Linked DNA regions of Macaca fascicularis. The protein of the gene in region 2 binds, or shares a complex with, the protein of the main gene of each other region. Links are inferred from orthologs where the notes say so. Each region holds a gene or a part of one and is shown on either strand. Other genes may lie near its edges.

The links.
Region 1: TLE6 (region 2) and KHDC3L share a complex: the UniProt entries of both Homo sapiens proteins name them as parts of the subcortical maternal complex. The link is inferred for Macaca fascicularis from reciprocal best matches to the Homo sapiens genes TLE6 and KHDC3L.
Region 3: the proteins of TLE6 (region 2) and OOEP are in contact, whole or in part, in a cryo-EM structure (PDB 8H94), measured with the Mus musculus proteins. The link is inferred for Macaca fascicularis from reciprocal best matches to the Homo sapiens genes TLE6 and OOEP. Residues at the interface, in NP_444484.1 of Mus musculus: Trp256, Ser258, Phe304, Thr305, Arg306, His307, Val318, Asn320, Val322, Asn323, Glu332, Ser333, Asn354, Ser355, Arg356, Leu373, Ala374, Ala375, Pro376, Ser377, Leu378; in NP_080756.1 of Mus musculus: Arg32, Pro33, Trp34, Trp35, Pro37, Gln39, Glu40, Glu67, Trp70, Met71, Gln73, Gln94, Pro95.
Region 4: the proteins of TLE6 (region 2) and NLRP5 are in contact, whole or in part, in a cryo-EM structure (PDB 8H94), measured with the Mus musculus proteins. The link is inferred for Macaca fascicularis from reciprocal best matches to the Homo sapiens genes TLE6 and NLRP5. Residues at the interface, in NP_444484.1 of Mus musculus: Pro147, Gln148, Pro149, Val150, Cys158, Gln159, Phe161, Leu162, Ile163, Gly165, Leu166, Trp167, Leu169, Phe170, Ser173, Arg174, Gln175, Lys176, Asn177, Ala247, Asp248, Lys249, Phe250, Lys252, Pro253, Ser255, Trp256, Leu261, Glu262, Cys265; in NP_035990.1 of Mus musculus: Gln185, Phe188, His283, Arg307, Glu326, Lys327, Lys329, Ser330, Ser334, Pro335, Leu336, Met444, Ala447, Glu448, Trp451, Tyr465, Tyr507, Tyr508, Glu511, Glu515, Asn517, Phe520, Phe522, Leu540, Met543, Lys544, Leu547, Val571, Lys574, Leu575.
Region 5: the proteins of TLE6 (region 2) and YWHAG are in contact, whole or in part, in a cryo-EM structure (PDB 8XI3), measured with the Mus musculus proteins. The link is inferred for Macaca fascicularis from reciprocal best matches to the Homo sapiens genes TLE6 and YWHAG. Residues at the interface, in NP_444484.1 of Mus musculus: Phe137, Leu138, Ser139, Glu140, Ser141, Asp142, Leu144, Gln145, Leu295, Arg347, Asn430, Leu447, Gln470, Met472, Asn489, Asp510, Asn511, Thr512, Met530, Pro553, Arg555; in NP_061359.2 of Mus musculus: Lys50, Arg57, Arg61, Lys125, Asp129, Arg132, Tyr133, Gly174, Leu177, Asn178, Val181, Glu185, Phe201, Asp202, Ile205, Ala206, Leu208, Asp209, Glu213, Tyr216, Lys217, Thr220, Leu221, Ile222, Met223, Gln224, Leu225, Arg227, Asp228, Asn229.

What each region holds. Positions count from the first base shown.
Region 1 is NC_088378.1:101,686,053-101,691,171, reverse strand, and holds KHDC3L (KH domain-containing protein 3), read left to right. Parts: upstream 1-2,185; 5' UTR 2,186-2,257; coding exon 2,258-2,426; intron 2,427-2,612; coding exon 2,613-2,792; intron 2,793-3,067; coding exon 3,068-3,339; 3' UTR 3,340-3,505; downstream 3,506-5,119. UniProt on the Homo sapiens protein: Component of the subcortical maternal complex (SCMC), a multiprotein complex that plays a key role in early embryonic development.
Region 2 is NC_088393.1:3,674,521-3,680,650, reverse strand, and holds the start of TLE6 (transducin-like enhancer protein 6), read right to left. Parts: upstream 3,768-6,130; 5' UTR 3,713-3,767; intron 3,176-3,712; 5' UTR 3,119-3,175; coding exon 3,068-3,118; intron 951-3,067; coding exon 868-950; intron 1-867. UniProt on the Homo sapiens protein: Component of the subcortical maternal complex (SCMC), a multiprotein complex that plays a key role in early embryonic development.
Region 3 is NC_088378.1:101,680,279-101,685,276, reverse strand, and holds OOEP (oocyte-expressed protein homolog), read right to left. Parts: upstream 3,183-4,998; 5' UTR 3,123-3,182; coding exon 2,933-3,122; exon of another isoform or gene 2,919-2,932; intron 2,715-2,918; coding exon 2,535-2,714; intron 2,171-2,534; coding exon 2,091-2,170; 3' UTR 1,857-2,090; downstream 1-1,856. UniProt on the Homo sapiens protein: Component of the subcortical maternal complex (SCMC), a multiprotein complex that plays a key role in early embryonic development.
Region 4 is NC_088393.1:63,996,485-64,001,909, reverse strand, and holds part of NLRP5 (NACHT, LRR and PYD domains-containing protein 5), read right to left. Parts: coding exon 5,349-5,425; intron 4,597-5,348; coding exon 4,429-4,596; intron 1,473-4,428; coding exon 1,302-1,472; intron 1-1,301. UniProt on the Homo sapiens protein: Component of the subcortical maternal complex (SCMC), a multiprotein complex that plays a key role in early embryonic development.
Region 5 is NC_088377.1:51,374,811-51,380,968, reverse strand, and holds the start of YWHAG (14-3-3 protein gamma), read right to left. Parts: upstream 3,396-6,158; 5' UTR 3,213-3,395; coding exon 3,126-3,212; intron 2,886-3,125; exon of another isoform or gene 1,307-2,885; intron 1-1,306. UniProt on the Homo sapiens protein: Adapter protein implicated in the regulation of a large spectrum of both general and specialized signaling pathways. Binds to a large number of partners, usually by recognition of a phosphoserine or phosphothreonine motif.

The DNA.
Region 1 (5,119 bases), on a different chromosome or scaffold from region 2:
TAGCCAGGATGGTCTCGATCTCCTGACCTTGTGATCTGCCCGTCTCGGCCTCCCAAAGTGCTGGGCTTACAGGCTTGAGCCACCGCGCCCGGCCCCGGCTTGTTTTTTGACTTTTTAATAAAAGCCATTGTGACTGGTGTATGATGGTATATCGGTGTGATTTTAATTTGCATTCCTCTTCTGATTAGTGATACTGAGCATTTTTCATGTGTTTGTTGGCTGCCTGTATTTCTTCTTTGGAGAAACATTTCTTCATGTTCCTTGTCCAGTTTTGTTTGTTTGTTTCTTTGTTTTGTGGAGACAGAGTCTCACTCTATCCCGCAGACTGGAATACAGGCTCATTGCAACCTCTGCCTCCCACGTTCAAGCGATTCTCATGCCTCAGCTTTCGGAGTAGCTGGGATTACAGGCGCCAGTCAGCACGCCTGGCTAATTTTTGTATTTTTAGTAGAGAAAGGATTTCGCCATGTTGGCCAGGCTGCTCTAGAACTGCTGGCGTGAGCCACCGCATCCGGCTTTGCCCAGTTTTTAATGGGGTTGTTTTTTCTTGTTGTTTTGCAAAGTACTTTAATTGTCTCAATTAGCAAGTAAGAATTTCCCAACTACTAAATCATTCCTATATATTAAATATATTCGGCCGGCTGGGCGCGGCCTGAATATATACATTTGGTCTATTAATGTGGCAAACCTGAAGTTCTCTTTAGTGTTTCAATACTGAATAAAAATAAATTATAAATTATTATTTATCTTATAGCAACACAGTTAAAAGTTATTATTTTCACACTTTTTTTTTTTGTTTTGTTTTAGTAGAGGTGGAGTTTCACCGTGTTAGCCAGGATGGTCTCGATCTCCTGACCTCATGATCCACCCGCCTCAGCCTCCCAAGGTGCTAGGATTACAGGCGTGAGCCGCCGCACCTGGCTCAGTTATTATTATTTTTTGAGACAGGGTCTTACTCTGTCACCCCGCGGGGAGTGCAGAGGCACCATCACTGCTTACTGTAGCCTCAGCCTCTCTGGGATCAGGTGATTGTCCCACCTCAGCCTTCCCAGTAGCTGGGACTACAGGGGTGTGCAACTTCGCCCAGCTAATTTTTGTATTTTTTTTGTAGCGATAGGGTTTTATCATTTTGCCCAGGCCAGAAGGATTGCTTGAGACCAGCTTGGGCAACATAATGAACCCTTGTCAGAAAGAGAAGGGGAAAAGAAAGGAAAGGAAAAGGGAAAGGAGAAAGGAAAGGAAGGATGAGACAAATATAATTGTGTTATTTAGAGAACAGAGGCATCACTGGGCATGGTGTCAGAGGCTTGTAGTCCCTGCTACTGGGGCAGCTGAAGAGGGAGGATCTCTTGAGCCCAGGAGTTGGAGGCTGCAGTGAGCTATAATCACACCACTGCCCTCTAGCCTGGGTGACAGAGATCCTGTCTCCAATTTAAAAAATTAAAAATAAAAAAGAACAGAGATGTCAAAAATTTTCAAGGAATCTCCTCTGGTGTCCAAACCACGAGAACCATCTGTGGTTAGGTGTGTTCATTGCTGCATTAATTAAAAGCGCTTTATAGTCCCACCACTGGGGAGGCTAAAGAGGGAGGATTTTTTTCAGCCCTGGAGTTCAAAGCCAACCTGGGCAACATAGCCAGACCCCATAACTTTTTTTCTATCCCCCCCTTTTTTTTACTATGCAAATCTCACTACACAGACCCTATAGCAAAACAAAACAAAACAAAAAGGCGGGCGCTTATTCTGCTCTGTACTCAGCTGTCTCAGGCAAGTGACAGAATAATCTGAAAACCTGGTGCCAGAGGGAGAAAACGTAGTGGCCAGGGATCAGAAGCGAGTGAGGGACGTATGAAGTATTCATTCTGCAAGTATCAGTTCCTTCCTCTGGGAGAGATACTGGGCTTGTCCACGCCTTCCTGAGTCCATGGTTAAGACTCCCGCTGGGCACCAGCGGATTCCTGGTGCCCAGAGCCCGGTTCCTCCTACCGGGTGCGCTGGGGAAAGGGCTGCTCCTGACAGAAGAGACACTGAGAGCAACGCAGGAACCGGTGCACTTGCGCTGCCTCGGAAAAAGCCGGGGCTCCTGGAGGCGGAGGCGAGGCCTGGGACCCAATGAGAAGGGCGCGGTTGGAGAGGAGGGGCTGGCCAAAAGCACTTTAAATAAGGCCCAGGCGAAACCGCAGTTCTAGTCGCCTAGCTCCAGCTTGGCCTTTGGGTTTGCTGTGGTGGTCTTGTCTCCTGCAGGACCGGGCGCAGCATGGACACTCCCAGGCGGTTTCCGACGCTCGTGCAACTGATGCAGCCAAAAGCAATGCCAGTCGAGGTGCTTGGTCACCTTCCTAAGCGGTTCTCCTGGTTCCACTCTGAGTTCCTGAAGAATCCGAAGGTAGTTCGCCTGGAGGTTTGGCTGGTGGAAAAGATCTTCGGTGAGTGGAGCAAGGAGGGGCAGCCCCTATGCGGCTTCTTTCTGCCGCCCACACCCACATCCCACTGCGTTCCAGGGCAAGCCTCCCCAGTAGCCAATGCCCTCTGGCTGTCTCCTCCTTCCACTTTCCCCTCCCAAGACCCCCGGGAGCCACCCAACCCTCACAGCCTCTCTACTACCCGCGCAGGCAGGGACCGAGAACGCATCCCGCACGTCCAGGGTATGTCCCAAATCTTGATTCATGTGAATCGGTTGGACCCTAACGGCGAGGCTGAGATCTTGGTATTTGGGAGGCCTTCTTACCAGGAGGACACAATCAAGATGATCATGAACTTGGCTGACTATCACCGACAGCTCCAGGCGAAAGGTACGGGGCTGGGAATGGGGCTACCTGGAGCAAACCCTGGCTCCGTAGGAGTGATCCTGGGGTTTCCTGGCTGCTGGGGCTGCAGTCTCGCCCTCCCAGTCTGCCCCCGGTTAGTGGGTGGGAGACGGGGCGGTTGCCATGGATCCAGAAGGCCAAAGTGAACCCGCGTTCTGGGATTCCTGGTTCCTACTCCCGCAGGCCGCTTGGGTGACTGTCCTTTTTTGGAGAGGATATAGGGACACAGCTGTGGCCTCCGCACACTGCTCTTCTTTCAGGCTCAGGAAAGGCCCTCGCCCAGGATGTCGCCACTAAGAAGGCCGAGATCCAGCTGTCTTCAGCAGAAGTCCGGGAGGCCGGGACCCAGCGTTCGGTGGAGGTCCGGGAGGTCGGGACACAGGGTTCTCCGGTGGAGGTGCGGGAGACCGGGACCCAGCAGTCTCTCGAGGCTGCCAACCAGTCCGGGACCCAGCGATCCCCCGAAGCTGCCAGCAAGGCAGTGACCCAGCGGTTTCGCGAGGATACCCGGGCCCCAGTTACCAGATTATGAAGGCATCTCGGGCCCTGGAGCCAGAGCCAGTCAGGGGTTAAAGTGAAAGCCCGTACTTCGCCCAGAAGCTGCGGTTGGGAGGAGGATGATGTGGATTTTTTGTTTTACCCCTTCTGTTGAATGGTTGCAAACACAAACTTGAGTTCTAATAAAAAATTGCAAACTAGAAGCCGCCCCCTACTTCAGCCCCTGAAGCCGGGGTAAGGGTGGATGATGTGGATTGGTTTTTTTTACCCCTTCTGTTGAATGGCTGCAAACACAAACCTGAGTTCTAATAAATAATTGCAAAGTGGAAGCCCCCCGCTACTTTAGACCAGGAAGCCGGGGTGGCGGGGGAGGTTGACGTGGATTGTTTTTGTTTTACACCTTCTGTTGAGTGGTTGTCAACACAAACTTGAGTTCTGATAAACAATTGCATTTCCCTGACGTCTGTATTTTGGAAGGTAGAGGGGAGGGAAAGGCGTATTCCTCCAACAGCCCAGTTCTGCCCTGCGCCGCTCTTTACCTCGAGACAGGTGGGGCTTCTGGCTCCCAGCCGCCCGGGGTCGCAATCTTCCCTGGCTGTGGTCCGCTGTGCCACTTGTACTCCTTAACCGCGCGCATCTGGCTTTAACAGGTGAGAAGCTTCTCTGGCCCACTAGGAAACCTCTCCAAGCCCGCTGTGGTTCTACTCAAGGTGACTTGGGATGAGAAAACCGGGTCGCTTGGGGGCCAGCTGGATTTGGAAGGCCCTGCGTGTATGGCGACGCTGCCACAGAACACTTTCCCCGCTGGGGAAAATTACCTCGGGGAAGGGGGAAACGAAGAGAGCCGAGCTGCACTCTCCGGCTGCACTGTTGCCGTCTTCAGGTCTTGCTTGGGTCACCCACCTTCCAGGAAGGTCTTGGACACCAGCAAGATACAGGCACCGGCTACTCTTTCCTCAGTTACTACGGCAGCGAGGAGCCTGAGCAGAGAACACTTTGGCTTCCCGGGTCACAGCTCTGGTCAGGGCACTGGGATGCAGGTCCCTGAGCCTGCGAATTAATCTAGAAGAATGCAAGCCAACAGCTGGGTGCTAGGATTAAACAATAGCATGCAGTAATTCTGTAATTAGGATTTAATTAGGATTTTTTTTTTTTAACCAAGAATCACTGATAATTTTCATTTTATTTTGGAGATGGAGTCTCGCTCTGTCCCCCAGGCTGGAGTGCAGTGGCCCCATCTCACCTCAACACAACCTCTGCCTCCCGGTTTCAAACAATTCTCCTGCCTCAGCCTCCCCAGTTGCTGGGACTACAGGCCCGCGCCACCACGCCCAGCTAATTTTTGCGTTTTGGGTACAGAAGGGGCTTCACCATGTTGGCCAGACTGGTCTGACCTCAGGTTATCCGCCCGCCGCCTGGGCCTCCCAAAGTGCTGGGATTACAGGTGTGAGCCACCACGCCCCGCCAATCACTAGTAATTTTTAAAAGTTCAAAGCTAACTTTAAATATCAGGGGAATATCTATCACAAACTTTTTGTCACCACTAATTATCACTCGAGTTTAAAATAATCATGTACCTTACAATAAGGGAATTACGACATAAAGCTGAATTTACAAAAACTTATTAGCAACTTTTAACCGGTAATCATTTTATTAAAATAGTTGACTAATTTTAGAAGAACTTTAGAACATTTTAAATTCAAAATCAACACAAAATCAGTTTCAGATGAGGATACATCACAGAACTAAAACTCAATGTGTATGTTGTTTTTCTCTGTGTAATACCCACTTTACCAGAATGTTGGATTCTCTTC
Region 2 (6,130 bases):
CCCCACCCTGCCACTTTCTTCAATTTCTTTTTTTGAAACAGAATCTCACCCTGTTGCTCGGGCGAGGGTGCAGTGGTACAGTCATGGCTCACTGCAGCCTCCAACTCCTGGGCTCAGATGATCCTCCTGCCTCAGTCTCCTGAGTAGCTGGGACTACAGGTATGCACCACCACACTCAGATTTTTATTTTTTAAGATATGGTGCCTCACTATGTTGCCAAGGCTGGTATTAAACTCCGGGCTCAAGCGATCCTCCTGCCTCTGCCTCCCAAAGTGCTGGGATTACAGGTACAAACCATTGCACCCAGCCCATGCAGTATATATATATATATACATATTTTTTTTTTTTGAGACGGAGTCTCACTCTGTAGCCTAGGCTAGAGTGCAGCGGTGTGAACACGGCTCACTGCAATCCTCCGCCTCCTGGGTTCAAGAGATTCTCCTGCCTCAGCTGGGATTACAGGCACCCGCCACCACGCCTGGCTAATTTTTGTATTTTTTGTAGAGACAGGCTTTTACCATGTTGGCCAGGTTGATCTCGAGCTCCTGACCTCAAGGGATCCGCCCGCCTCTGCCTCCCAAAGTACTGGGATTGCAGGTGCGAGCCACCACACCCAGCCATTGCAGTATTTTTCAACAATAAAATTGAATGCCAACAAATCCATGTTGCACAGGAAAATCAACATATGAAACGAAAGCTGGGATGGATATTGCTGGGTTCTCCACGCTGGGTATCCGCATGGCTTCCTGTTCCTGAGCCTGTCTCTTGGGCCAGCAGTTTCTAGACCACTCACTAGGACCCCAAGGAGAGAGGCCAGGTGGGACCCCTTCCCAGCGTGGGACCGCCAGCCCCTGGAATTGCTCTCACCTGGGGAATTGCTTGAGCCGATTTAGAATGCCTTGATAATTCAGTGGTGGAGAGCTCTCAGAGTTCGAGATCCCAGGATGGGGCTGGAAAGGTCAAAGCAAGGTTACATAAAACTTACAATGCCCTGGCCGGGCGCGGGTGGCTCACGCCTGTAATCCCAGCACTTTGGGAGGCTGAGACGGGCGGATCACGAGGTCAGGAGATCGAGACCATCCTGGCTAACACGGTGAAACCCTGTCTCTACTTAAAAAAAAAAAAAATACAAAAAACTAGCCGGGCGCGGTGGCGGGCGCCTGTAGTCCCAGCTTCTCGGGAGGCTGAGGCAGGAGAATGGCGTGAAACCGGGAGGCGGAGCTTGCAGTGAGCCCAGATTGTGCCACTGCACTCCAGCCTGGGTGACAGAGCGAGACTATCTCAAAACAAAAAAACAAAAAAAAAAACTTACAATGCCCCAAACACTCAAGACCCCAGGTCTCCATCTCAACCAGAGTATAGGTATTAGGTTGATGCAAAAGTAATTGTGGTTTTTGTTTTTGTTTTTGAAACCAAGTCTTGCTGTCACCTAGGCTAGAGTGCAGGGGCACAATCTCAGCTCACTGCAACATCTGCCTCCCAGGTTCAAGTGATTCTCCTGCCTCAGCCTTCCTAGTAGCTGGGATTACAGACGCCTCCCACCATGCCTGGCTAATTTTTGTATTTTTAGTAGAGATGGGGTTTCACCATCTTGGCCAGGCTGATCTCAACCTCCTGACCTCGTGATCCACCCGCCTCGGCCTCCCAAAGTGCTAGAATTACAGGCATGAACCACTGCGCCCGTCCTCTTATTTCAGTACCTGAAAGAGCATCTTCCATTTTGCACTTTGGCCTAAAGTCTAAAATATTCACCACATTCTTGTGATGAAAATAGAAGCACAAAATATTTTTAAAAATAAAAGGCCAGGCAAGGTGGTTCACGCCTGTAATCCCAGCACTTTGGGAGGCCGAGGTGAGCAGATCACCTGAGGTCAGGAGTTTGAGACAAGTCGAGGCAACTCAGCAAAACCCTGTCTCTACTAAAAATACAAAAATTAGCCGGGCATGGTGGCACACACCTGTAATCCCAGCTACTGGGGAGGTTGAGGCAGGAGAATCATTTGAACCTGGGAGGTGGAGGTTGCAGTGAGCCAAGATCGTGCCACTGCACTCCAGCCTGGGCGACAAGAGCAAGACTCAATAAAATAAAGTCTCTTGGCCAGGTGCAGTGGCTCACGCCTGTAATCCCAGCACTTTGGGAGGCTGAGGTGGGCAGATCACGAGGTCAGGAGCTCAAGACCAGACTGGCCAACATGGCGAAACCCCATCTCTACTAAAAATACAAAAAAAAAACTGGTGGTCATGGTGGCAGGTGCCTGTAGTCCCAGCGACTCGGGAGGTGAGGCAGGAGAATCACTTGAACCCGGGAGGCGGAGGTTGCGGTGAGCCGAGATTGCGCCATTGCACTCCAGCCGAGGTGACAGTGTGAGACTCCGTCTCAAAAACAATAAAGTCATAAAGTCTCAAAACAAAATATTCCTCATCTGACCCCTTTACAAAAAAGAGAGTTTGCTCAGCCCTGAGAGCCTAAATTTACAAATGGTCATCTCTGGGACATAAAGTACAGGGAGCCCGGATTGCTTGTAAAATATTAACCAAATACGTGCTGTGTTCCTGTGTTTTTTATCACGTATGTGATTAGAAGCTACATTTTTTTTAAAGATGGGATCTCACTTTGTCACCAAGGCTGAAGTGCAATGCCTCAAACTCCTTGGGCTCAAGCGAAGCCTCTGCCTCAGCCTCCTGGGTAGCTACAACTACAGGCAGGCCCATGTCACTAGGCCCAGCTGATTCTTTTAATTGTTTTTGTAGAGACGGGGGTCTCATTACGTTGTCCAGGCTGGTCTCAAACTCCTGGGCTCAAATGATCCTCCTACCTCGGCCTCCCAAAATGTTGAGATCACAGTTGTGAGCCACTGTGTCCAGCCTACACTTAATTTTTTTAAAAAAAAAAAAGGCTCCTTGGCACCTGTCTTGAATGTAGCAGTGACCGGTATTGTCTTCAGCTGTGAGGCCTGGACGAGGCCAGCCCAGGTCACAGGTGGATACAGGATGAGAAAGGGGCAGAACCTCATTGGGCTGAGCTGGGTTTCCCTTGAGGGCTGATCCCACCCCATGCCCTCCTCACCGAAGTGCCTTTCGGGGGGCTTTTGGGGCTAGGCTGGTCCCTAGAGGTCATCTTCAGGCAGTAGCCTCCAGGACTTTAGCCAAAGTCTAAAACAAGGAGACAGCAGGTCTTGAAGGACAGAAAATAAGGCAGTGTCAGGGAGGGAGCCACCCCTTACCCCACCTGCACCTCCCGGTTTGGTAAGTCTCCAGGGCCCCAGTCCTGCGGTTCCCCCATGCGTTCCCTAGGTCCCGTCCTCACTTATCAATGCCTCCAGCTGCCCAGATTCGTGGGGCCGGGGACCCAGAAAGAACTGAACCCTGCCTCCCAGGCCTCACCCTAGGAGGTTGGGGTGGATGGTGCACATACACTCCCTGCTGGGGGAGCCCAGGGAAGGTCACCAAAGCTCAACCTTAGTTTTGAGACAATTTCCTAAAGTGCAGGGAGATCACTAGAAAGGGGTTTTGAAGGATGAATAGGAGTTAGCCAGGTGCATTAGGCGGAATTCATCGGACAGAAGAAACGACTTCCCTCCACCTGCATCCCAGCTGCAGCACCAAGCTCCTTCCTTGCCTCAGTCCTGCCCTTCCACACCCCTGCAGCCCCTTCCCCGGCCCGGGAATCTTGGAGTCCCCCCAACCCCCAGGAAAACGCCTGGCAACTCACGTCCCTCACAGGGCGGAAGCTGCCGAGGTCAGCCAAGTTCAGGCCAAGAGGAAACTCCTCCTTCCCCCACCGGGGGCCATTTGACCCATCGGGCCCCGCCTTGTCCCGCCCTGTCCCTGCCCCGTCCCGCCCAGGCCCCACCCAGCCGCCACCTGGACCGCGAAGCGGATCAATGAAGGCGCAGTAGCTGCACGTGGGTTCGGGCTCGGGGTGGGCAGGCATCTGGCGGCGCTGGCCAATCGTGAGGCCGTTTGCGCACGTGGGTCGCGTACGCCCTCCCTGATTGGCCGGCTCTCCCCGGCTGCCGGCCAAGCTGTCACTCAGCGAGCCGGGAGCCTCCGCTTAACCCTTTCGGTCCCGCTGCCGGGAAGGGCGGAATTGCAGAGCTCTAGGCAATTTGGGGTCCCAGCGGGGGCGGGGATATTTAGGAGGGCGTGGGGCTTGAGGCTCGGAGGGTGGAACTTGGGGAAGGATAGGTGGCGAGTAGTTGCATTGTTTTACTCATTTTTAGCCTTGTCCGGAAGTGGCTTACGGCTGGAAGTGAGGAGTGGGAGGTGGGTGGGGTCAATCTTTAGCGCTCTCACCCCAATGCTTAGATACGGGCTAATTATATTTTCCTCAATATTAAATAACGTGCAATGCAAACGAAGCTTCTAGTTCTCTTTCGGGAGCCAACTTACTGGGTTCCCTTGATGGTCTTAGCCCCGGGCTATGCATTTATCATATTGGAGCTCCCAGCCCAGTGACAAAGGCTCTGAGAGCAGAAAGCCGGACAGCAGAGGCCCTGAGGCTGGTACCGTATTGCCAGATCCAAGCCCGGGGTGGGAGAGAGTGGTGGGTATTCCAGATGGAGGGAATAGTGGAAGCTCTCAGGCAGAGCTGGGCTGGTTACAGGAGAAGACCGGGAGGCTAACGGGGCTGCGTGCACTCCGAACACGCCTGGGATGATTTCAGAGAGGTAAGTGGGTTGCTACAGAGCGAGAGAAACCTGCTATGTGGGGTGGTGGGGATAGGGGTAAGGGGATTCTGGAGTTCTGTTTCGGCCTATTCAAAATATGAAGGCAAAGCACCATGGCTCACACCTGTGATCCCAGCACTTTCGAAGGCTGAGGTGGGAGGATTGCTTGAGGCCAGGAGTTGGAGACCACTCTGGGCACTACAGTGACACCCCATCTCTACAAAAAAATTTTAAAATTAGCCAAGTGTGGTGGTCATGCACCTGTAGTCTCAGCTACTGCGGAGGCTGAGGCAGGAGGATTGCGTAAGCCCACACTCCAGTCTGAGCAACAGAGCAAGACCCCATCTCAAAAAAAAAACCCCAACATACATATTACATATACAATACATATATAAAGTATATATTATATATAAAGTATATGTTATACATATATAAAGTATATATAATATATAAATATATATGTTATACATATATAAAGCATATATAATATAAAGTATATATAATATATATAAAGTATATATATTATATATATAAAATATATATATGTAGTGAGAGCCCAAGATTCTTTCTGTTTGGCCCAGAACCTGGTACTGGCATTAGCGGTTCGCTCTGCCAGGGACAGTCTCCCTCAGACAGCCACTGGCTGGCTCCTTACTCCCTCAGATCCCTACTTAGAAATCACCACATTGGGCCGGGCGCAGTGGTGCATGCCTGTAATCCCATCACTTTGGGAGGCAGAGGTGGGTGGATCACCTGAGGTCCAGAGTTCGAGACCAGCTTGGCCAACATGGTGAAACCCTATATCTACTAAAATACAAAAATTAGCCGGGTATGGTGGTAGGCACCTGTAGTCCCAGCTACTCAGGAGGCTGAGGCAGAAGAATCACTTGAATCTGGGAGACAGAGGTTGCAGTGAGTTGAGATCGTGCCACTGCACTCCAGCCAGGGTGACAGAGCAAGAGTCTATCTCAGAAAAAAAAAAAAAAAAAAATCACATCAGGCCAGGCGTGGTGGCTCACGCCTGTAATCCCAGCACTTTTAGAGGCTGAGGCGGGAGGATCACTTGAGGTCAGGAGTCCCAGACCAGCCTGGCCAACATGCTGAAACCCTGTCTCTACTAAAAATACAAAAATGAGCTGGGCATGGTGACGCACACCTGTAATCCCAGCTACTTGAACCTGGGAGGCGAAGGTTGCAGTGAGCCGAGATGGCGCCATTGCACTCCAGCCTGGACGACACAGTACTCTGCCCCAAAAGAAAAAAAAGAGTTCGTGACCAACCTGGCCAACATGGCAAAACCCTGTCTCTATTAAAAATACAAAAATCAGCTGGGTGTGGTGGCAGACGCCTGTAATCCCAGCTACTTGGGATGCTGACGCAGGAGAATCGCTTGAACCGGGAGGTAGAGGTTACAGTGAGCCATTGCACTCCAGCCTGGGCCACAAGAGTGAAACTCTGTT
Region 3 (4,998 bases), on a different chromosome or scaffold from region 2:
GAACATCTTTCCTGGAACTGACACTTTAAGTTTCACCTATTCATATGGCTGCTTCTTTCTCTAAACACCCAATAAATGGAAACTCTATATCATGCTGGAATTATAGATGTCATCAAGCCAAGCCAGCTGCTTGGCGTGGAGGAACAGGAGAGGTTGCCACACTGGAGGCTGAGGCAGGAGAATTGCTTGAACCTGGGAGATGGAGGTTGCAGTGAGCCGAGATTGTGCCACTGCACTCCAGCCTGGGCGACAATGTGAGACTCCATCTCAAAAAGTAAAATAAAATAAAATAAAAATAAATAAATAAAAATAAAAACCCCACCAGGGCCAGGTGCAGTGGCTCATGCCTCTAATCCCAGCACTTTCGGATGCCAAGGTGGGAGAATCACCTGAGGTCAGGAGTTTGAGACTACCCTTGCCAACATGGTGAAACCCCGTCTCTACTAAAAATACGAAAATTAGCTAGGTGTGGTGGCACATGCCAGTAATCCCAGCTACTTGGGAGGCTGAGCCAGAAGAATTGCTTAAATCAGGGAGGCAGAGGTTGTAGTGAGCTGAGATCACACCACTGCACTCCAGCCTGGATGACAGAGCAAGACTCCATCTCTAAATAAATAAATAAATAAACAAACATACATTAAAAATCACACCAGGAAAAACTTGAAAGAATCAAATTTCTATGGGAGAAAATTAGGAGCTCTTAAACTTAAGAGGGTGGGGATATGGGAGAACACACAGGAAACAGTAATTGATTTAACTACATAAAATAAAAATCTTTCACATGCAAAAAAAAAATGTAAGAGGGTGGAAAATGCTGGTAATAACAGACCATTGTTACAAAAGCTTATAGAGATAAATAAAAATCCTTATCTTCACCAGTTGAAAGAAGTCAAGAAAGGAATTAATACAGAAAAATGTAAAACTGAAACAAAGAAAACATTCAACATCACCTCTAATCAAAAATGTACAATTAAAGAGACTTGAGTTTAAAACGCTTGCAAAAGGCTAGAACACTTTATTGCCAAGGAATGCATAAATTCCATGAGTCTCAAACCAATCCTAATTGCGCTTGAAGCCACAGGGCTTTTGACACCTTTCACCCCAAAAATTCTACTTCCAGAAAGTGGGGCAGCAAGGATAGGAGCTGTTTTGCAGAGATTGGTAATCTCAGTACAACACGTAATGGAAAAACAATCTTGCCCATGCTGGACACCTGTGCAGCCTCGCCTTGCAGAAAAAGGGAGACAGCCGGCTCCAAGGCAGGGCGCCATCCACAAGCCAAGGTGCCAGGGATCCCTTTTCTTCCGTGGTGAATCACAAAGCTACCATTAATGAATGCTGACCGCCCAGGCCTGCTTGTTGGAATGTCATCCTGTGCCAGACGGACAGCCCACTCCAGGAAAACGCACAGCTGGTGCTCTTTGGAGGGTCAATTACCAGCTGCAAAGTGAGAGCCTCAGATAAGCTGCTTTGGTAGTACCTGTGAGCTCATCAGAAATGCAAATTACAAGCCCCACCCCAACAGTACTGAATCAGAATTCTCTGGAGAATGAGCCTAGGAAATTGTGTTTTAACAAGCTCCCAAGGTGATTTTTTACAAGCTTTAAAGTTTGAGAGCCAATTATGTAAAAACAAAACAGATCACCATTTGGGAGGTTATCTGCCCCTGCATATCTGCCCCCTGTGGGTGAGGGCCTCATTCTGACCATAAAATCATAGAAGGATTAGGAGTTTCAAAATGATGGGAATTCAGGAAGAAAAAAACAAAACAAAAACAAAAAAACAAAAACAAAAACCTACAAAACTACAACCTGCCAGCCTTCTGCCCACCCTTCATATCAAAACATAAGAGTCAATCTTTTATAAATTTGCTTTATTATAAGTGTGTGAAGATCTTAATGCCATTGGCAAAATAGCCATTTCTTTATTAGAATAGTTCAAGCTCACTCTTGCAACAAAATAAACCACATTCCATCAAGACACAGGAAAAAGGAATGCAGGGATTTAGGAATGCTATACTTGCTTCTCTTCAACTTTAGCAGAAAAAGTTGGAAAGTTCTTAAGATGTTCCCGACAGTAACTATGTTGTCTTAAGCAACAGGATCCTGGGGAGAGTGGGGGTCTGATGCATGGGCCTTCAAGTTCTTCTCAAGGTGTTTCATCTTCTCAGCTGGAAGAGAAGCAGTTGATGCTAACCATGGACAGGGAAAACGGTTCGCTGTTTCGAACTACTCAGTGATTGGGAGTTGGGGAGGAGAGAAAGACCTGCGGTGGAGGCTCCGAACCTGGGATCTGCGATAGCGTCGTAACCCAGCTGAGGCTGACTTGGGCAGTGATGGGCCTGAATGTATCAGATCTCCGCTGACTTTCCCAAGGTCCTACCCCGGGATCCCCTCCCAACAAACTTCGTGCAGCCCCTGGGGTCTGGAAACCAAGAAATTCTGAGAAGGTTAAGGGAGGATGGAAGGAAACCGAGCAAGGCCAGTACAGTCACTCGTGGCTTCCTCCACATGCAGGTTCTCAAAGACCCTCACCTCGGGCACGATGTTCTCGGTGAAACGATGCCAGGCACAGGAGCATGCTCTTCACCCGATTCTGTACACTGGGCCGTCCAAAAACGGTGATTTCGACTAGGTTCCCAGAGTCCACTATGTCCACTGTCATCAGGGCCTGGCTCGTCCATTCCATTTCTGGAATCATGGCTCGGTCCGGGCCTAAACAAGTAAGGAAAGACTCTGAGGGGCCGCACGGTGGCAAGTTACAAGCTGAATTTTAAGGGAACGTTGGCCAGGGAAGGGAAGAGCTGGAAGGTGGGCAATCACTGCAACACTTTTGGCTTGCGAATCTGGGAAAGAAGCTGTAGAGAGCTGCTCTGCCGAGTTTCTCTCAGACTGGAGGTGGACAGCCCACTAGCACACCTGGGGTCGCTCACCAAAGAGCTCGTCTGCCAGCCATGCCTCCAGGTAGAACACCAAAGGGTCTCCCAGTTCCTGCACCGGAAACCACCAAGGCCGGATGCGAATCTGCGGCGGCGGAAGTGGTAACATACGCAGCTGCTCCAGGGAGTCGGCCGGGGTCTGTTTGCCCCGCTGGGACTCAGCAGCACCAGCGTCATCGACCATACTGGGACCAGCAGCCGCGGAGCGCGCTCGAGGTGGCTTTCGCGGGACCTCCTCCAGACCCAGGCGCGAAGCTCGGACTCTCTTTTACCATATTCCACCCGCTCCGCCCCTTCCGGCGGCGCCTAGCACCGCGTCGGGGTGAGCTGGTGCAATCGACGCCCTGGCCTAGCGGCACATCGGGCACTTCCTGTGCTGCCTCAGTCGCCGGGATTGCCTCTTTGACTTTGAACTAGTATGCATCTGGCCTCCTGTTGGGTCTCCAACGCTCTCCTTCGTCATCTTTGCCTCGTAAGATATACTTAGCCTGAAAGACTTCTGCCCACCTTATAGCTGATTAACACTGTGAGTTTGAATTGACGACTCTGCTGACTGGGAATCGCCTTTGCTGGATAGGTTAAGGTTTCATCGTTACCTCCCAGAGATAGGTAGATTGGACCCAGGGCAGGCTTGTTGAATGTGTCGGTTTTCTCTCTTCTGCCCCATGCTGTTATCTTCTGACTCTCCGGATGGTTACCATTTTTAAATCATTCAAGCAAGTGTATCATGTTTTAAACAAAACGTCGGAGGTGGTCTTATAGAACATGTAGCAAGTTAGACAATTTTCCTTTATTTCCAGTATCCTAAGACAACCAGTATCAATGAATTTTTTCCCAGTGTTCGTAATTTTAATTAAAAATTTTTTTTAATTAAAAAAAAAAAGAAAGGTTTCACACATCCAAAAAAGTAATATAGCACAGCCCTGTACCCTCCCCCAGTTTAACAGATATTGACATTTCCCCACATTTGCCTCACTTCTCTGTTTTTAAAATAGATATTACTCAAGCATCTTTCCTTTTCCTCTCCAGAGGAAATTATCTTGAAGCTAGTGTGTATATATCATCCCCATGCATGTCTTTACACATTTTCTACTATATTTCTAGAAATATTGTTTTGTAGTTGTTTCAGAATAGATAGTATCTGCTGAAAATACTATTTTGTTCTTACGATTAACTATGTGTTTGTTTTAAAACTATTTTCTATTTTTCTGAGATAGGTCTCAGTCTGTTGCCTGGGCTGGAATGCAGTGGCATGATCTCGGTTCACTGAAGCCTCGACCTCCCAGGCCTAAGTGACCCTCCTGTCTCAGCCTCCTGAGTAGCTGAGACCACAGGTGCCTGCCACCACACCCAGCTATTTTCCAGCTCTTCTGTTGTTGTTGTCTGTCTGTTTGTAGAGACAGGGTCCCACTATGTTGCCAGGCTGGTTTTGAACTCCTAGGCTCAAGCAGTCCTCTCTCACTTTGGCCTCCCAAAGTGCTGGGATTACAGGTGTGAGCCACCACAGCCAGCCTAGAGGAAAAAACTCAAAATAGTGGAAAGCATGTTCCAGATTCCACATGATCATCTAGGACTGTGTGGAGGCTCCAGTTTTCTGCCCCTGAGCCCACCCCCTCTCACCCTCAATGGTTGCTGAGAAAACCTTACTATCAGATGTGTAGGGCATACTTACAGGAAAACTAGATTTAGCTATGGCTGTGATGCAATGAACATTTAAAACCTTAACCTGGCCAGGCAAGGTGACTCACGCCTATAATCCCAGCACTTTGGGAGGCCAAGGCAGGAGGATCACTTGAGGTCAGGAGTTTGAGACCAGCCTGACCAACATGGAGAAAACCCATCTCTACTAAAAATACAAAAATTAGATGGGTGTGGGCCAGACACAGTGGCTCACGCCTGTAATCCCAGCACTTTGGGAGACTGAGGCGGGTGGATCACCTGAGGTCAGGAGTTCGAGACCAGCCTGACCAACATGGAGAAACCTAGTCTCTACTAAAAATACAAAAAATTAACCGGGCATAGTGGCGCATGCCTATAATCCTAGCTACTCGGGAGGCTGG
Region 4 (5,425 bases), about 60 Mb from region 2:
TGACACCCAAGACTGAGAGCTCAGGGTGTGATGGGGCCTCACGCCGTCACCCTCTAAGCCTGGATGTCTCATTGGTGACACCAGCACTGCCATCCAGCTAAGATTAAAGGTCACCTAGAGCTGTGCTGTCCCGAATGGGAGCTGCTAGCCCCACATGGGTACTGAGTTCTTGACATGGGTCTAGTGTGATGAGGAAACTGACGTCCCCATTTAACTTAGATTTGGCTGGCCACATGTGGATACTGGCTGCCACACTGGGCGGCTCAGCTGAATCAGACCCACCCTTGACTCCCGGCATCACCATCCAAGCACCATCCAACTGTGGGACAAGTGACACAGCCTTTCCGAAGCTGTGTCATCTGTCAACTGGGTTATCAACAGCACCTGTTCCGTAGACCTGTTCTGAGAACTCAGCGAGGAAGGGTTGGAGGGATTTTAGCGCAGTGCTTGGCACAGCTCAGTGAGCACTGAATAGTGGGTGCTGTAACTCTGCTGCTGCTTCTCCTCCCCCTCCCTAGATCAGTTATCAGTAAGCAAGTCATGTCCTTTGGGCCAGGCACTACTCACACCTGTAGTCCTAGAACTTCGGGAGGACAAGGCAGGAGGATCGCTTGGGCCCAAGAGGTCGAGGCTGCAGTGAGCTAGGATCTTACCACTGCACTCAGCCTGGGCAACAGCAAAACTCTGACACGGAAAAGGAAAAAGGTGATATCCCTTTAGGCGTCAGGGTGCGGAACTGCCGCCCCTCGCATTTCCACTTGGAGGCATTTCTGCTAGAACACCACAGGCCTGGGCTCATCCCTGCTCTGGGCTCCCTTGTCTCCAGAGGAGGAGGTGGGATTGGGATTTTGGGACCCTCCTTTTTGAGCCTCTCTGTGCCCAGAAGCCCAGAATGCATGAGCTCTGGCCTGGACTTTACCAGGCAGAGGGGAGCCTGACCCCCACCCACGTTGAGTGACTGAGTGGGCGGGCATCTCTCTCCAGTCATGGGGACAAGCACTCACTAACCCACAGTGTAAGCTGCACACATAAGCCTCACGCCCAAGAGAGCTTTATCAGGAGGGAAGATCATTATTCAATTTCCATCTGACTGATTCCCGCTTCCACCTTGTATCTCCCCTTTAGAGTTTGGCGGCAAGAACAGATGTTTATCAGGTCACTCTTACGCCCTGACTCTGGGGGCAGTCTCGGGAGGTCCCAACTTCCTTCCTCACCCTGTTTGTGCATCTGCTCATTCCCCTCCCACCATGACTGGAGAATCGAAGTTACCATAATCCCGGTGGAAAGGAAGTGGCACTCACGTCAGCTTCTGCAGGGCGCACTGGGAGACCCTCAAGGCATCACTGAGAGGCGTCACTCCCTGGTCTGTCACCTCATTTCCTGCCAGGCTCAGAGACTTCAGGCTGGGAGAGGCCGTAAGGATTTGGGAGATCTTCAGGTAACAGGTGTGGGTCAATCCACAGCGATCCAGCCTGCAGAGACAGGCAGCATGAAGCAATCGCAGCTCTCGCCCAAAGCAGCCCATTTCCCCTCTACTCAGCACACGCCAGTGGCACTGGCCATTTTCCTGGTCCTCGGACTCTGTCTGCTCCTGCCTCTGGGCCTGAAAATTTGCTATTCCTTCCATTGCAACCTCCCCTCCTTCCCCCTCCCTCAGGTCTTCATGGGGCTCATGTTCTCGTTCATGTCTCTTGAAGGTCGCCTTTCGGGTAAGCCACACCTTAAACAGTGCCTGCCCCACCTCCCTCCCTTGTTTCAACATTCATAGCAACGCACCCCAGCCTTTTATTATTATTTTTTTTTGAGACAGGGTCTTGCTCTCGTCACCCAGGCTGGAGCGCAGTGGCTCAGTCTTGGCTCACTGTAACCTCCGCCTCCCGGGTTCAAGCAAGTCTCCTGCCTCAACCTCCCGAGTAGCTGGGATTACAGGTGTCCTCCACCACACCTGGCTAATTTTTGTATTTTTAGTAGAGACGGGGTTTCACCATGTTGGCAAGTCTGGTTTTGAACACCCGACCTCAGGTGATCCACCTGCCTCAGCCTCCCAAGGTGCTGGGATTACAGGCGTGAACCACTGTGCCTGGCCTGTGTTGAATTTTAGGCAGAACTTTTAGAGCTCTCCAAGCCTACACATGCTCCTGCCATGTGTGCACACATCATTCTTTCTGTCTTGTTTTGTTCTCCCTGTGCTGGCCTGTGAGCATCAGGAGAGCAGGAATCTCGTTTCATTCATCAGCACATCCCAGGAACTTGTCGTAGTACTACACACAGAATCAAGCATCTGTCATTATTGAATAAAGGAAAGTTCCAACTCCTCAACGTGACAGTGAATGGAAACCCTTCACAATGTGGCCCAATCCATCTTTCAATGTCAAAGTCTACCGTTTAGAGACTTAGCTCATCATCCCATCCCTCTGTACAATAAATACTTTGGGGAATACGGGCCAAGTGTTGGGAATAGAGCAGTTCTAGGTTCTGGGGCTACAGGAGTGAAGAGAATAGAACAATACCCCTGCCCCTGTGTGTTATGAGAAGGGAAATTCATTAGACTTCCAGGAAACTGGACCTAAGTGACTTCAATGCTTTTTCCTTTCTTGGCCCCAAATAGCCTAGATCCATCTTTTCTGACAACGTGTATATTTATTCTTTGAATCCAAGCTCCAGCTCTCTGCACTTGTGGTGCAGAGTGAGCAAAAGAGTGAGCATGTAGCTTCCTCCAATCTGTTCCCAGATAAACCCCACGTGAGGTCAGGCACAGCATTTCCGTCCTGAGACGATGTCTATGCTTTGGCCAATTTCCCTGGGTTACATCTTTTTAAAGTACAGTTCCTTGGCTACCAGGCAAACACACACGGTGCAAAGCAAATTCTTATTATTCTTTGATGTTAGTTGATGTGCCAACTAACAAAGCTCAAAGCAGGGCTTGTACTTGTCTGTCTCAGAATATTTGGGAGGGTGCAGCAGGTGGATCACTTCAGGTCAGAAGTTCGAGTCCAGCCTGGCCAACATGGTAAAACCCCCATCTCTACTAAAAATACAAAAATTAGCCAAGTGTGGTGGTGGCACGCCTGTAATCCCAGCTACTCGGGAGGCTGAGGCAGGAGAATCACTTGAACCCGGGAGGCAGAGGTTGCAGTGAGCTGAGATCACACCACTGCACACCAACCTGAGCAACTGAGCTAGATTCAGTCTCAAAAAAAAAAAAAAAAAAAAAGGAAAAGAAAAAAGGAAAAGAATACTACATAAACATTAAATAGTTGTATCTCTAGACCAAGCTAATCTAATGAACAAACCACCTTCCCAGGACTTGCAAACCACAGTGAGAGCCCCAAACCGGAACCAACCAACCAACCAACGTGTCCCTGGACAGGGGAATGGTTCAACTGCAGTACTTCATAGCATCGAATGGCTGTCGCCAAGAGAAAGGAAGAAAATGTCGAACACTTGACTGCTTGGGTGGATCTCAAGCACTGACGGAGCAAAGCCCGTCTCAGGCGACGACATACCACACTGATTTCACTGTAAGAGCATTGTCAAGGCCGGGCATGGTGGCTCACGCCTGTAATCCCAGCACCTTGGGAGGCTGAGGTGCACGGATCATGAGGTCAGGAGATCAAGACCATCCTGGCTAATATGGTGAAACCCTGTGTCTCTACTAAAAAAAAAAAAAAAAAGAAAAATACAAAAAATGAGCCGGTCGTGGTGGCGGGCACCTGTAGTCCCAGCTACTCGGGAGGCTCAGGCAGGAGAATGGCATGAACCGGGTAGGCAGAGCTTGCAGTGAGCCGAGATCGCACCACTGCACTCCAGCCTGGGCAACAGAGCGAGACTCCGTCTCAAAAACAAACAAACAAACAAACAAACAAAAAAACAGACCAGACTGGGCAACCGAACGAGACCTTGCCTCTGCATAATTTTTTTCTTTTTCTTTTTCTTTTGAGATGGAATCTCGCTCTGTCACCCAGGCTGGAGTGCAGTGGTGCCCTCTCGGCTCACTGCAAGCTCTGCTTCCTAGGTTCAGGCCATTCTCCTGCCTTAGCCTCCTGATTAGCTGGGACTACAGGCACCCGCCACCACGCCCGGCTAATTTTTTTTTTGTATTTTTAGTAGAGACGAGGTTTCACCGTGTTAGCCAGGATGATCTTGATCTCTTGACCTTGTGATCTGTCCCCGCCTCGGCCTCCCAAGCATAAAAATTTTTAAATGAAACTTTGAGGGTTTTTTTTATTGTGATAAAGTATTTATAACCGAAAATGGACTATTTTAATTATTTAGGTGTGCAATTCAGTGGCATTAAACTCCTGCAACCATCACCCCCATCCACCACCAAAACTTTTTCAGCTCTTTAATTTTTGCCTCTTTCTGTAATTATTTCCAACAAAAGCAAAAACGAAGAAACAAAAGGCAAAAGCCCTACCAGAGACGCACCTCAAAGACTCCAACAAACATTTTGGGTGTTTTAAGGCTTCACACGCCATCCTTACATCCTCTTCCTTCAGGTGGGTGCCTCCCAAATTGAGGGATCTTAGGTTACGGTTGGCAATGAGGGTTCTCCAGAGGTGCTGCAGACCAGAGGCAATCTGTGCGTTCCTAAACCTGCAGGAGACGGGAAACGGGAGATGCATGTGACACTGGTGACGTTTTGTTGTGACCTCACTTATCCTTCCCATCCTTCTCCCATTCTAACTTGCAAATTTCTAATTGTATTTCCTTGTAAAGCAACGAATACCTGAGTGCCTGTGATGGGCCAGCTACTGGGAATAGCGTATGAAGCAGTATTAACAATCCCTGCCTTGAAGAGCTTAATCCATCCAAACCCGTCCAAACCTGGTGTCAAGGAACCTGCTTCAGTAACACAAGGTTTTTGTTTGTTTTGTTTGAGATAGAGTCTTGCTCTGTTGCCCAGGCTGGAGCGCAGTGGCGCAATTTTGGCTCACTGTAACCTCCACCTCACTGGTTCAAGCAATTCCCTTGCCTCAGCCTCTCAAGTAGCTGGGATTACAGGCACGTACCACCATGCCCTACTAATTTTTTTTTTTATTTTTAGTAGAGCTGGGGTTTCACCATGTTGGCCGGGCTGGTCTCGAACTCCTAACCTTGTGATCCTCCCGCCTCAGCCTCCCAAAATGCTGGGATTACAGGCGTGAGCCACTGCGCCCGGCCGATCACAAGGTCTTTAGCAACTCCCCACTCTGTGCTTTTGGGAACTTGGTTCCTACACCTTGGGTGGCACTGATGCCCTCAGGCTGAGCTTGAGGGGTTTCAGATGGGTCTCCTCTCAGGAGGTAGGGGAGAGCTGGGACAGAGTCATGGGAAGGGATTCTCTCACAGGGGGTGGGCAGCCTTACCTCAGGGTCTGTATCTTGCAGGTGGGATGCCTCAGCTTGGCACAAAGGGTCTTCATGGCCCGCTCTGTCAGGATGCT
Region 5 (6,158 bases), on a different chromosome or scaffold from region 2:
ATTGATCTCCTGGAAAAGCTGGGCGGGGGGGTGGCTAGGGAATGGAATATTTAAGATAGTAAGAATTTGAAAGTCTACTGATCCCACTAGGAAGATTTAGAAAAATTACGATAGCCTTTTGCCACCTTTGCCCCCACCACCCCTCACTGAATTAAACTGCTTAACCCAGTAACTTCAACAAAATTAGTAGCCCTGAACCTTTTCTCCCCCCGAGGCAAGTACCAGTAGCCTACTTAAAATATTAACTTCTCAAGAGACTATTAAAAGTCAAAGGACAAGACAGTATTGTCTAATACGTAGGATACATCTAGGTATTCAATCTCCTTCAATACAAGACTAAACAAGTGTCTTAAAAGACCTAACATTCCTCTTTCCTTCTTTTCAAAATACTGGATAATACAGTATTTCTGTCCTGGTTGCCCACACAGAACTATCATTCTGCACAGATTCCAATAGTGTTAGCACTAGGATAATTTCATTAAACTCAAATAAATTTTAATCCATCAACAGGATGATTTCGGCCTTAAAAGAGAGCTCACTTGAGTGGTAAGACTGGGTTCTTTCTCTGCAGTTTCCAAATTCTCCATGATGACTTTTATAAACAGGAAGACAATTTCTTAGGTAGTTGCCATTTGGGAACACCTACTACATTTCTTATTGAATCCGCACAACTTTTTCAAGTACTGTCCCATTTTATAGATGAGGAAAATGAGGGACAGAGCCTATTTCCTTAAAGTCACAGGAAACAGAGTTGAAAAAAGGTTTTTATTTTACAAACTGTTCTTTCCTCTATACTGTGAAGGAGCAGAAGCACAAATCTAGTAAAAAACAAACTTCCCAAACCTCGATTTAAAAGGTTTTGGAACTGGTTCTCATTCCCTAACAGTAACTGAAAATGACTCAGTAGAAAGTCATCATTTTTTTAAGGTTTTTATTAAAACCTGCCAAATTCATTATCTGAAATAAACACAAGTACACATCTCATCTCTGCACTATTATCGTAAACTATATTCTTGTTTAAAATTTCTACTTTCATTCCATAAAATATATTATCGTTTAAAATTTCTACTTTTATTCCATTATTGCCCAGTATTTTAAATAAGTGAGATGAATGTTTAAAAATATAAAAAAAGCATCTTATAAACTTTTGTGAGAAAGCTAGCAATAGGGTGAACAAGGCCTAGCTAGAGGTCAGGGATCTGCATGTTTAAGGGTAAATGAAATCCTTATTTTTTGGACTAATTCTTATCTGGTGGAATATGAAGTGCTCGATTCCACCTGGCTTATCGGCTAATTTCTGCATTACCTTGGATAAATGCCATTTGCACACTCCCTACCAGCCCTTAGGTGCATTGCAGCCTCTGTGTCATTGTGTGTGACATCACTTGGTTGCTATAGATATAGGTGCGAGGTCACTCGCTTTCCTGTGGAACTAGAAATACGGAAAAATTAGAAGAGTCTAAATTAAATAACACGAACTGAAGATATTTCCAATACTGATACCCATTAGAAGTGCAACTTACATCATTTGAGCATTAAAACCTTGTAAGACAGCAGCTGTGGCCATAGCAGTATTCCGAATTTCAGAACCGGTTCTCTTCTTTAATAAGACAAAAACATTTCTTTGTTAAAATACCTGGTTTAAATGTAAAGGTATCAGCATTGTCCTCTTTTGAGAACCAGTAAAGTTATTCAAGAATTGATCTGTAATATCAATAATGCTTCATTTAAAAGATGTAACATGCAAGGTACACTCCAGCATCCACTTCACAATGGAGATGCATTTGAAAAACCTTTGTTACATAAGGCAGGAAATTAAATATTAAGATAGTGGGGGCCCGAAATCATTAATTTTCTACCTTTCATTTCATAATGTTCAATACTTCCCCCTCCTCTAATATCAAACTGGTTGACAGCCCATTAGATAAATGTAGTGTTACTGACAAAATGGTGCAATACAGGGAGGAATCTGCAACCCAGACAAAATGCGACAACTGGAGATCAGTATTCTCTTTTCATCAGCATGAAGACGTACTCGCTTTAAAAAAAAAAAAAAAAAAAAAAAAGCCTCAGATGCATCTAACGACCAAAAATTTTTAAAAAGACTTTTTCCCCTTTAAAATAACTCCTCCCAGCCTCCACCCAGTCTAGGCTCTCTGCAATATGACAAATGCAGAATCTTCTGGAATGACTTGATACTGCCTCTCACCACCGCTTTGTTTGCACTATCAGATCAGACAGAATATTTTTTCCCCCAACTTATAGGAATTTCACAGACGCGTGCCTGTATTCAAAAAAGAAACGGCATATGTCACACGGATCGAACCAGTCAGCTACATTCACCACCTTTTATTTTACAGGCAATACCTACCCTTTTCAATACAAAAACATTAGGGAATAAAATGGAGATGACATGTTGAAAACGATCAACGAAAACGCTAGCGAGACAAACGTTCCCCCTTCCTAAAAGCCGGAGGACTTGCTTTGGGGGAATGGAGAAAGAAGAGCCTTTTGTTAAGAAAAACGTGAGCAAGGTGGTTTCGATTTTGCGCCACGGAGCTCAGGTTTTCAAGAGACCCTATACAATGTTTCTGGGAAGATTCACAGGGATCTGTCGGGACAGACAGTGGGGAAGATTTTGGGGGGGCTGGGGAGGTGGAAAACCGGGAGACCTGCTGAGTGAATGGGAAAGGCGCCGCCCAGACACCAGGGAGAGAAAGAGGAACCGCATCCATGCGGTCCCCCGCCCCCACGCCCGGGCTGGGAGGAGGGGGGAAGTGGGGCACAAAGGATGCGCACGCCTCCCCGCTCGGATCCCCTGTACCCCTAGAGCCGCTGGGACCGGAGACCCCGCTCCCAAGTCCAGCCCCGCGGGACCCCGCCCCGCCCCGCGCCCGCGCCGGGCCAGAGAGGCCGCGCCGCGGGGCCCCGGGGACGCCGAGGAGAGGCCGCGTCACAGCCCGTGTTCCCGTCGGCTCTGGGGACCCTCCCCGGCCCCCCTCAGTGAGCGAGACGGGGCGGTCACCCCACCATCGCGACAGGGCGACGAAGCCCCGGGCCTTCCACGCCAAGGACCGCGTCTTCGGAGGGGCAGGGAGCGGCGGGGGAGGGGAGGAGACACTCACGTTCTTCATGGCCGCGGCCATGTCGTCGTAGCGCTCCGCCTGCTCGGCCAGCCGGGCTTTCTGCACCAGTTGCTCGCGGTCCACCATCTTCGCGGAGCTGGGTCTGGCCGGAGAAGGAGGAGGACACTGGGGTGGCGTGAAGGGCTTGGAGGGCGCGATTGGAGCCCAAGTGCCGGAGAGGACCGACCCACGGAGCGAGCGGCTGAGGCGGCGGCTGCGCGGAGGAGGCGGCTGGAGCTGCGACCGCGGGACCGGGAGCGAGGCGGCTGCGGCTGCTGTGCGTGCCACGGACGGACAACCCCCTGCGGCCCCGCCCACGCCGCATGACGCAGGCAGGCCCCGCCCGCTCGTCCGCAAGCCCCGCCCAGGCCCCGCCCGGGCCCGGCCGCGGCTAGAGCTCCCCGCTCCCCAACTCGGCTCACTGCGCGTCTTCCGGGCACCACGTCCTTTCCCACTGCGCCCCCACTCTCCTCTTTATTCACTTCACTCCTCAGTTCCCTCACCCCAGCTTCTCCAGACGCCCCCTTATCCCTCTCCCTTCAGCCCCCCGCCCCGCCAGGCCTCCGACGCATGGGCCCTTGGGAGTTGTAGTGTAACCTGCCGTGGGCTGAGGCGTTGAGAAGACCGAGGACAAAGGGGCGGTCAAGACTACAACTCCCAGCGGAGGTAGCGCGCAGGCGCAGGAGGACTGGGGGGTGGTTCGAATCCCGAGGCCGCTGGGGACCCCTGGCGGGGATCAGGGCTGCATCAGTCCCTGCGAGTGCTGATTCACCGCCCCGCCCCATATTCTCCGGGAAATTACGAGAGGAGGGGGCAGGGGCCTCAGTCCTAGACCCTGTTTCCGAGATCACGTAGCAGGTCGTGGTGGGGGAAGGATAGGAGGCGCGTCCTTTGTAGATCCAGACTCTCAGTGTGGTGCCTGCCCGCGGGATGGCTGAATTAAGGGGCCAGACTCGGGGGACTGTCACCTCCTCCCCCTACGAGCTTCCACTAACCCCCCACCCCACCTTGAGGCTCTTGGGCCTGACTAGGTGAAAACAAGGACGAACGACAAATACCGGCTGGCCACACTGGTTGGTTTCCAGAAAGGATGCAGCTGCCTGCTGGCTGACCCTGGAGAACCCCTTCTTCCTCTCCAGAGTGGAGTGCTAAAGATTCAGTTCAGCTACCAGGAGCCTACTCCACGCCTTAACGGGCTGTGTCTGGGGCTTAGTTGTCCAGCCCTTCTCTCCCCTCCTAGGCATACGTACCTACTGAGGTCACGCTGATATATTCTCGTTCATATTATTCCACGTAGCTTAAAGATAGACTAGGTTTTTTTGCTTTGTTTTGTTTTTTGTAGAGACGAGGGTCTAGCTTTGTTGCCCATGCTAGTCTCGAACTCCTGGGCTCGAGCGATCCTCACGCCTCGGCCTCCCAAAGTGCTGGGATTACAGATGTGAGCCACCATGCCTGCAGGCCCCATAGTTTTGACTACACATTTTATTTACTTTATGTATTCAACAATTATCTGTGAGAAGCTACTGTGTTCCAAGCCCTATTCTAAGCCACAAGGTACAGTAGTGAACAAAACAGAAAAAAATCCCTTCCCAAGAAAATAGGCAAGATATGTACAGTATGCTAGAAGTCAATAAGACGTGAGCTTTGAGGTTGCAGTGAGCTGAGATCGTGCCACTGCACTCCAGCATGGGTGACAGAGCGAGACTCCATCTCAAAAAAAAAAAAAAAAAAAAGGAAATGAGCTTTGGCTGGTCTTGGTGACTCACACCTGTAATCCCAACACTTTGGGAGGCCGAAGCGGGTGGATCATCTGAGGTCGGGAGTTCAAGACCAGCCTGGCTAATGTGGCGAAACCCCATCTCTACTAAAAATACAAAAATTAGCTGAGCGCCTGTAATCCCAGCTACTGGGGAGGCTGAGGCAGGAGAATCGCTTGAACCTGGGAGACGGGGGTTGCAGTGAGCTGAGATGGTGCCATTGCACTCCAGCCTGGGCAACAACAGCGAAAATCCATATTAAAAAAAAAAAAAAGTGAGCTTTGCAGACGCTGCTGCCGCCAGGAGTACTCTACTGCTGGCCATGGTCAATCTCATCGTGTTCTTTGACATTATGGTCAAGCCCTCGGGCTGCGTCTCCTTCAAGGTTAGGGGCCTGGAAACCAAGAAGCCAAGAAGTGACCTCTGTAAACCATAAAGCCATGTTAACATATCAGAGCTGTTAGCAGACAAGGTTCTAAAGACAGCAGAAAACTTTCATTTTCTGAGCACTGGAGAGAAAGGATTTGATTATAAGGGTTGCTACTACTCTCTTTTTTTTTTTTTTTTGAGATGAAGTCTCGCTCTGTAGCCCAGGCTGGAGTGTAGTGGAGCAATCTCGGCTCACTGCAACCTCTGCCTCCCGGGTTCAAGCGATTCTCCTGCCTCAGCCTCTTGAGTACCTGGGATTACAGGCATGCGCCACCACGCCCAGCTGATTTTTGTATTTTTAGTAGAGATGGTGTTTCACCATATTAGTCAGACTGGTGTCGAACTCCTGACCTCATGATCCCTCCGCCTCAGCCTCCCAAAGTGCTGGGATTACAGGCGTGAGCCACCGCGCCCAGCAAGGGTTCCTACTTACACAGAATTATTCCAGGGATTATGTGTCAGGGTGGTGACTTCACACACCATAATGGCACTGGTGGCAAGTCCATCTATGGGGAGAAATTCGATGACGAGAACCTCATCCTGAAGCATACAGATCTTGGCATCTTGCCCATGGCAGATGCTGGACCCAACACAAACGCTTCCCAGTTTTTCATCTGCACTGCCAAGACTGAGTGGTTAGATGGCAAGCATGGTGGTCTTCGGCAAGGCGAAAGCAAGCATGAGTATTGTGGAGGCCATGGAGTGCTTTGGGTCCAGGAATGGCAAGACCAGCAAGAAGATCACTATTGCTATGGCCGGGTGCAGTGGCTCACGCCTGTAATCCTAGCACTTCGGGAGGCCGAGGCAGGCAGATCACTTGAGACCAGCCTGGCCAACATGGTGAAAT